2 linked regions of the Macaca fascicularis genome follow. The protein of the gene in region 1 interacts with the protein of each later gene in a biochemical or structural test. Links are inferred from orthologs where the notes say so. Each region holds a gene or a part of one and is shown in the gene's direction. Other genes may lie near its edges.

The links.
Region 2: the proteins of NGF (region 1) and NGFR form a complex in vitro, tested with the Homo sapiens proteins (2 studies listed by BioGRID and IntAct, with this or other methods). The link is inferred for Macaca fascicularis from reciprocal best matches to the Homo sapiens genes NGF and NGFR.

What each region holds. Positions count from the first base shown.
Region 1 is NC_088375.1:119,049,014-119,053,136, forward strand, and holds the start of NGF (beta-nerve growth factor), read left to right. Parts: upstream 1-1,309; 5' UTR 1,310-1,342; intron 1,343-4,123. UniProt on the Homo sapiens protein: Nerve growth factor is important for the development and maintenance of the sympathetic and sensory nervous systems.
Region 2 is NC_088390.1:57,210,042-57,213,556, reverse strand, and holds part of NGFR (tumor necrosis factor receptor superfamily member 16), read left to right. Parts: intron 1-642; coding exon 643-784; intron 785-3,515. UniProt on the Homo sapiens protein: Low affinity receptor which can bind to NGF, BDNF, NTF3, and NTF4. Forms a heterodimeric receptor with SORCS2 that binds the precursor forms of NGF, BDNF and NTF3 with high affinity, and has much lower affinity for mature NGF and BDNF.

The sequences.
Region 1 (4,123 bases):
CAGCTCCCCAGAGGGTGCCCTTCTGCTGGGTTGCACTGGCTAGTGTCACCAGCAATAGAGAGATTCTGTGCCTCACCTTCCCTTCCTGTTACTCTCCCCACACCCACTTATCCTCTGTGGCATCCACACGGGGTAGCGGTCCAACCCACCTTTGCTAAAGGAAGAAGTGAAGACACAGACAAGCTCAACACAGGAGGGAATGGGGCTGTAAATTTCCAAAGAGATGTGAATCCCCTGGAATGCTACAATTAATGGTGCACATTTGGCGACAAATTTGACTTCAGGGGTATTTCTCCCTTGCTAATTTTATGCTGGGGTGGGAACAACCCTGGCAGAGGGGCAGGGGAAAGTCAGGCAAGCTCCCCTGTCAGGCTGAATCCAGGGAACTCAAGAAATCTTGAAGGGTCAGGAAGGATTTGTGTGGGGCCTGGAGTGTGGAGAGAGGGCCTAAGCAGAAGGTTTGCTGGCTATGTCAGTCTAGGGGTCACAGGCCCGTTGCAAAACTGATGAAAGCTGCAGACCTTCAGCCCAGAAAAGAATATTAGCATTGCACACAGTCGCGCAAATCAGCCTACCGTTTCAGAGGGGCCAGGGACTCCGGGAAGTTCCTGGAACCCAGGGCCTTAAGTTAAGGTCCCTGGTCTAGCTCCTCCTGACTCCTGAAGTCCTCTGCCCCTTGTCCTTACGCTGGACTCGCCAGTGCCTGGGGGCCTTCTAACTGGTTCTGCAGCCGCCTTCCCTTGTCAGAGGAGCTTGGGCACCTGCCCCTCGCGGGGCTCCCCCTGGGTGCTCACCTATCCTGGGGTGAGGAAGGGTGCCACGAAGAAAAGCTCCCTTAGACGGCGCGGGGAGCAGCCAATGCCTGGGGCAATGAGGGCGACGCCGGGCAGACCAGGGAAGCACTGGCGAAGGGCAACGCGCGGGGGCAGGGCGGAGAGGTGAGGGAAGCTGCGAGCAACGCCGCTTAGCCCCAACCAGTCGGCCCAACGACCCCCGCCGGTGCCCCAGAAAATCCTCCTCCCGGCTTTGCGCGCGCGGCCCCTCAGACCCCAGTGGGTTTCCCTTTGACCTCTGGAAGTTTAAAGTCCTTCTCTGGCTGGGTCTGGCCAGCCCTCCAGGAGCGATCCGTCTCTAGTCCTCAGGACCCCCTCCAGCCAGGCACCACCACCCCGCCACAGCAGGTGCGGGGCTGGTGATGGGGAGGGGAGGGATGGGGGCCAGGATTTGGAGCGTGTGACTCAGGAGTACGGGAGGAGGGGCTAAGAATTCAAGAAGCCTGTGTGAGAGCAGCTCGGCGCTCCGGCACAGCAGAGAGCGCTGGGAGCCGGAGGGGAGCGCAGCGGTGAGTCAGGCTGCCCCGAGCCGATCCCGAGAGGGGCGCAGCGCGGGCGCGGGCCGGGGTGGCTGGGCTTCGCGGGAGAGTATGCAAGGATACCGGTCTGGCGAGCTCTCTGGTTACCCCCGAGGCTCCCGCGGACCCAAGAGCAGCCCTGAGAAATGTCCCGAGTGGGTGTGGGGTCGCGGGACCCTCGCGGGAGGACGAGTCGGACCGCGGGAACAGCGTTCGTTCTCGTCGTGGAGTTCCTAGTCCCGGGATGGCCGGCGGTCCAGGGAGCAGCCTTGGCGCCTGCAGAAGCCCACGGCCATGGCAGAGTCTAGCTCGAGGGCTAGAAGTGGATAACGCGCAAGTGAGGGAGAGCGAATGGGCACCGAGAGGGATGCGCCGGCAGCTGGCGCGCCGGGGCGGGAGGAGTGGCGGCCAGCACCGCGGGGGGAGCGCAGAGCGCGCTGGCTGAGGTGAGCGCCGAGTCAGGAAAGTGCTGCGCTGCTCCCAGGTAGGGGGACGAGCGGAACAGGGCGCGCTAGACCTAGGGCAGTTCCCTCAGCGCGTCTCGGAAGGGCTGGGAGTCGTGACTGAGGGCCCCGGGGGTTAACCCAGGAAGTCTGCGAGCCAATACCGGGGTCCGTCCGGCGTACCGGGGCCCTCCACGGAGCCGCGTTGGACAACCTCAGGTCGAGGTCGCCAAGGTTCATTCGTGCCACTTGGGTCACACGCTTCATCTCCAGCTGTCTGCTGCCAGGTGTGGGAGAAGCGGGCGTGGAAGGTTGGGGCGGGCAGCGCCTTGGGTTCAGGCGAGGAGGATCTAGGGGAGGAAGAGAGGACTCGGGGGTCAGGGAGCTGCAACTTTGAGCCAGCAGAAACAAGCAGCTTAGCTCCCTCTAATTACAGACCTCCTTCTTAAAAAAAAGAAAAAGAAAAAAAAAAAAAAAACTCCGAGATTCTTAAGGAAGGTGTTTCGTGCTTGAACTTTTTCTTCTGTTGTGATTTGAGAGATTAAAAAAGAGCCTGCTTGCTAGGCTGGTTTTTCCAAGTTGTTCCAGGTTGGAAGTTGTAACAGTTCGAAGGATAATTTATGGGTGTTTCATGCATTAAAGTGTATTACAGCAAAGCCTTTTGGGTGCTGTGGGTATTAAGGAAAACTTAGTGCACGTTCCCAGCTGGAAACCAAAATAGTGCTCTCCTGGGTGCCTCTGCCCCATCTGTCATCCAAGGCCAATGGAAATCCTGTAGAAAAGGCACTTGATTAATTGTCCTGGCTCCATCCTCTGGGCACACCCACTACCAGTGCCAGTCCCCTCCTCCCCAACCCATGCACAGCCAGCTGCACTCTGCAAATGCAGAAATGACAGTGGAGGCCCCATCGGTAACTTCTCTCCAGGGTCTTCAAACTCTTGAAGCTGTCAGTTAAGTCTACTGGAGGGGAATCTTTCCCCTTCTCTAGGCAGTGCAGAAGGGCAGCAGCCATTGGCCCCTGCCAGCCCTTCTTACCCTGTGTTTACAGTTTCCTCCTGAATGTCTGAAACTTTCTCCCTCTGCAGAGTCACAGAAGAAAGGCTATATCAAACCTGATGGGTCTCTTTTGTTGAATAAGTCATATGTCAACCTGAGCAACCCAAATGTTAATTCATGATGGGCAATGTTCCCAGAGGGTCAGAGGAGACGGGCGGGTCTGGGGGCTGAGACTGGCCTAGCTGGAACTGACTCACACAAAAAGTGAACATTCCTCTTGTTGAAGGGGGATAGGGTTTAATGCCACATGTTGCCAAACTCCTACCCCACTCTTTCCCCAACATCTTTATGCAGGTAAAGGGAAAAAAGAAGCACCAAAAATGGGAAGCCAAGATCACTGGGGCATGAGAACACTAATTTGGCAGAAGTATAGGAGCACCTCAGAGGATTTTAGAACCAGCTGCTGGCACCACTGCATTTCCAACAGCAGCCCAGGCCCATCAGAGAAATGAACTGGGCCCACTCAGGGCAGTCATCCTAGTGTTGGTGGCTCTTTCCCTACTTTTAACCCTTGCCAAGGAATGGGGTTCTCGCCTTCTCCTATTGCCCACCCCACAACTCCCCTGCCCCAAGGGCCAGTGGGAGCAAGGGATGAGGCTTCACACTCTCATTCTCTTTCAGGGAGAAATCCGTGCCTTGGACAAGAAGGGGGCCCTGGCTGCCGACATCAGCAGGGAGAGTAGGGTAGGGCAGGGCAGGGCTGGAGCCCGAGGGAAGTTTCTCATCATTACCGAGATTAAACTGATGAAAAAAGTCACACAACTTTACTTTTTAAAGAGTGCTGAGCACTCCTGCTGCTCATTCATAGAGTGCTTTACTGCAGCACCCTGCATCAGAGCAGCAGGGAAACTACACAGAGATTCAGCCACTGCTCTTCTCTACCGGGCATGGAGCAGGGCCAAGGCCCAGATCCCCAAGCAGATGTCAGTGCCAGACCCGGGACCAGAGACCCAGCCATTTACCTTTTCCCAGTAAGAACTTTCACGGACTTCAGAGTCTAAAACAAGCCTTAGAGACCTTTGCTGGCAGCAAATTCTCTGCTCTCAGGAAGCAATGGAAGGTTTGCTGAGGTCTTGCGCAAAATCTCTGGATATCTGTGTGCAAACAACCCATGCTCCCAGAAAACACCTTTCTGTGAGACAGAAAGAGTTCCTGTGTGTTTCTTTGACTAGCACCTCTGATCTCACAAACCATCAGCTCTCAGGCTTAGCCAGTTCCGAGAAATCAATTCTGTGGTGGACCATTTTGAGCAAACAGTGTCCGCTGGCATCG
Region 2 (3,515 bases), on another chromosome or scaffold:
GTAAAGAGATGAAGACTCAGAGGGAAGCTGGGCAGGCAAGACCCCCAGCGCAGACTCAGGATTCAAACCCAAGACCCTAACCCTCTGCTTTCTGCTCTTGGGCATGGATATCTCCCATTTATTATTTAATATGTGGAATTAAGAACCTGGAGTAGGGCCCTGCTGGTGTTTGTTAGAAAAAGGCCCTCCTCTGGGTAGATGCAGCCCTGCAGGTCAAAGCTTAGCGAATGGAGTTTGGGCTAGGTTTCAGCTCTACTTGCCCTGTTGGCTGGGAGCCCTGTGCAAGCTGCAACCTGTCCAACCACTGATGACATCCCTGTTGGTAGGCCCTCCGCTGGGCCTCAGGCCACCTTCCCCATGTGGTGTATCCTTGGGATTCCAGGAGTTGCTGTAACCCCAAGATGAACTTTGCAGAAGGTCAGCAGCTGAAGCTCTGACCTCACACCCCCAGCAGCCTGCACAGGCATACTGTCCCTCACTTGCCTTTCCCCTGTCAGCTTTGATGTGCCTAATGCCTCCTTGGTGAGCTCATCCCAGCCCAGGTGGTTCTAATAGAAGGCAGTGGGAGGGGGTGTTTGATTCCCCGGAAGAGACCCCCGCCTTTCTCTTGCCAGTCTGACCCTCTGATCTGCCTCCATCCAGGTGTCCCTTGGAGGTGCCAAGGAGGCATGCCCCACAGGCCTGTACACACACGGCGGCGAGTGCTGCAAAGCCTGCAACCTGGGCGAAGGTGTGGCCCAGCCTTGTGGAGCCAACCAGACCGTGTGTGAGCCCTGCCTGGACAGTGAGTAGAGGGTGGTGGGTAGCAGGAGGGGAGAAGAATGGGGGTGAGGAGGAGAGGGGTGAAAGGGAGGGGCGCTGGGAGAAGCATGCCCAGTAGAGCCTTATAAGTGGGAAGGGTCCCCTTCCCACCACTGTAAGGTCACCAGAAGTGGGTCTGACCCAGTGTAGGAGGTGTTTCTCCCAGATGGGAGAAGCTGAGAATGGAGAAGGGAAGTGTGCAGAGGGAGGAGGGGAACCCCACAGGGGATCTCCAAGGGGTGCCCATTCCCAGCTCCTGAGAAGGCAGAGGCCTGGTAGAAGAGTGTGGCCGGGCAGGGAGGAATAGCTGATGCTAAGACCAGCTAAAAATATCATCTGCACTGCAAAATCAATGGCTGCCACTTATCCCTGATGTGTTTGGGGGAAGGGAGAGGAGGATCAAATCCTGGCTGCCCTGGAGGCTGACCTTGGGGGATCCTGGGGGTGTGGCTGCTCTCCCCCACAGACCAACTCTTCTCCAGCTTTGACCAGGAAGCAGAGTTTTCCCGAGGCAGCAGGGATAGGGGTCCTGAAGACGTACTTATTGTTGGGTGACAGAGGGGAGGGGAGATGGGGAGCTGTGCCCATTCCTGCCTGGGATCCTTCCTTCCTTCCTTCCTTCCTTCCTTCCTTCCTTCCTTCCTTCCTTCCTTCCTTCCTTCCTCCCTCCCTCCCTCCCTTCCTTCCTTCCCTTTCTTTTTCTTTCTTTCTCTCTCTTTCCTTCCTTCCTCCCTCCCTCCCTCCTTTCTTTCTTTCTCTTTCTTTCTTTCTCTCTCTCTTTCTTTCTCTTCCTTCCTTCCTTCCTTCTTTCCTTTCTTCCTTCCTTCCCTCCCTCCCTCTCTCTTTCTCTCTTTCTCTCTCTCTCTCTCTTTCTCTCTTTCTTTCTTTCTTTCTGGCAGAGTCTTGCTCTGTTGCCCAGGTTGGGAGTGCAATGGCATGATCTCGACTCACTGCAACCTCCACCTTCTGGTTTCAAGTGATTCTCATGCCTCAGCCTCCTGAGTAGGTGGGACTACAGGTGCATGCCACCATGCCTGGTTAATTCTTGTATTTTTAGTAGAGATGGGGTTTTACCATGTGGACCAGGCTGGTCTCAAACTTCTGGCCTCAAGTGATCCACCTGCCTCAGTCTCCCAAAGTGTTGGGATTAGAGGCGTGAGCCACCGAGCTCAACCCTGCCTGGGATTTCTTTCAGGAGGGGAGAGAATCTCATCTTCCAGGGCTGGTGGGTCTGGGCCTCTTAGCCCCAGTCTTGTCCAGGGTCTGAATCCCCTCGTGTTTTGAGTCAGGGGTCTTGGTCCCTGATGGGTGCCCCCAGTCCGCAGTTGCTGCCTTTGGACCATGGGCTCCCTGCCCTTTTCCTGATGACTGCCACTCAGAACCTGCCTTCTACCTGGCACTTGATGCCCACCTGGAGGGCTCAAGGGAACCATACTCAGATTGTTCTTTAATCTGGCTGGGAATAAGGGGATAGAGCTGGGGCCTCTGAATCCACCTGCGGACATAGTATTACCTCTCTGGATGTCCCCCTGAGTCTATCTGTCCTTAAGGCAACCCCAACTCTTGGTGTTCCCCAGACATACTGTTCCCCTTCTCTGTGCTTGTGGATCCTGTAACTCCATTCCCCAGCCAAGAGATGCCTGGGCGTATGTGTGGAGGTGGGACATCCTCCAATGCCTTTGCCATCTTGCTGTCTGGCCTAACAGGGTTTCCATCCCAGGACGGGGTGGCCAACCATCAGCTATCCCAGAACCGCCAAATCTGCCTCTCTCGCTTCCTGGACTCCAGCCCAGGGCTCTCCTCCCAGGACCTAAATGATGGGAACCCTTTCCCTTCAGTCAAAAGATCTTCAGCAGGAGGTGGGGTGGAGGACACCAGGAGAGGCAAGTTCCAGAATCTCTGGAAGGGAAGGGAGGCAGGCAGAGAGGTGGCTTTGAGAATCCTCCCTTCCACTTCCTCCCTCCCCTCCCTTTTCCCCTCCTTCCCTGTGTCCCCCTCCTCCACCTCCAGCTGCGTTAACAGGCTGCCTTTACAAGCCCACTTTATGGGATGGAGACCCCAGCGGACTTTCCCTCTATCCTTAAAACGTTTCCACAAGGAAACCTATTAAGCCCCTGCCTTCATTCTCTGCCAAAAAAGACCACATTTTTCACACCACCTAAAACCCTCTCCCAGGAGTTTTCTGCTAATTTTCTGTGTTTTGCCATGAGCAGGGTTCTCCTTTTCCCCTCCTGTGTGACTAGATTTACCCTCTGTCACATGCCAGCCAGCCAGGACCCTCTTGTTTGTACAGATCAGACATCCTGCCTTGGCTGTTTGTGTTTGGACGTTCTTTCTGCTGTCTGACCATATTCCTACCACCAAAGTTCACTGTTCTTATCGCTCCCAACCCCCATGGGGCCCAGTCTTTATAGGATCCCAACTACATGCCAAGACTTTATGGCTGAATTTCATTTATTCCTCACCACAACCCTGTGACTGCAGATATTGCTCCTTATTTTTACAGAGAAAGAAAAAGCTCAGAGACGTTAAGTAAAACACCCGAAGTCACACAGCTGATAAGCGATGGAAGTAGATTTTTGAATCCAGATCTGCCTGCTCCTAGGAAAAGGGATACAGGGTTCCTCTGTCAGAACTGACTTGAAACTGAAGTCTCCCTCCAGGCCCTTCTTCCTGGGTCTTTCCTTCTCTCCTCTACCCTTTTCTATTTTCTT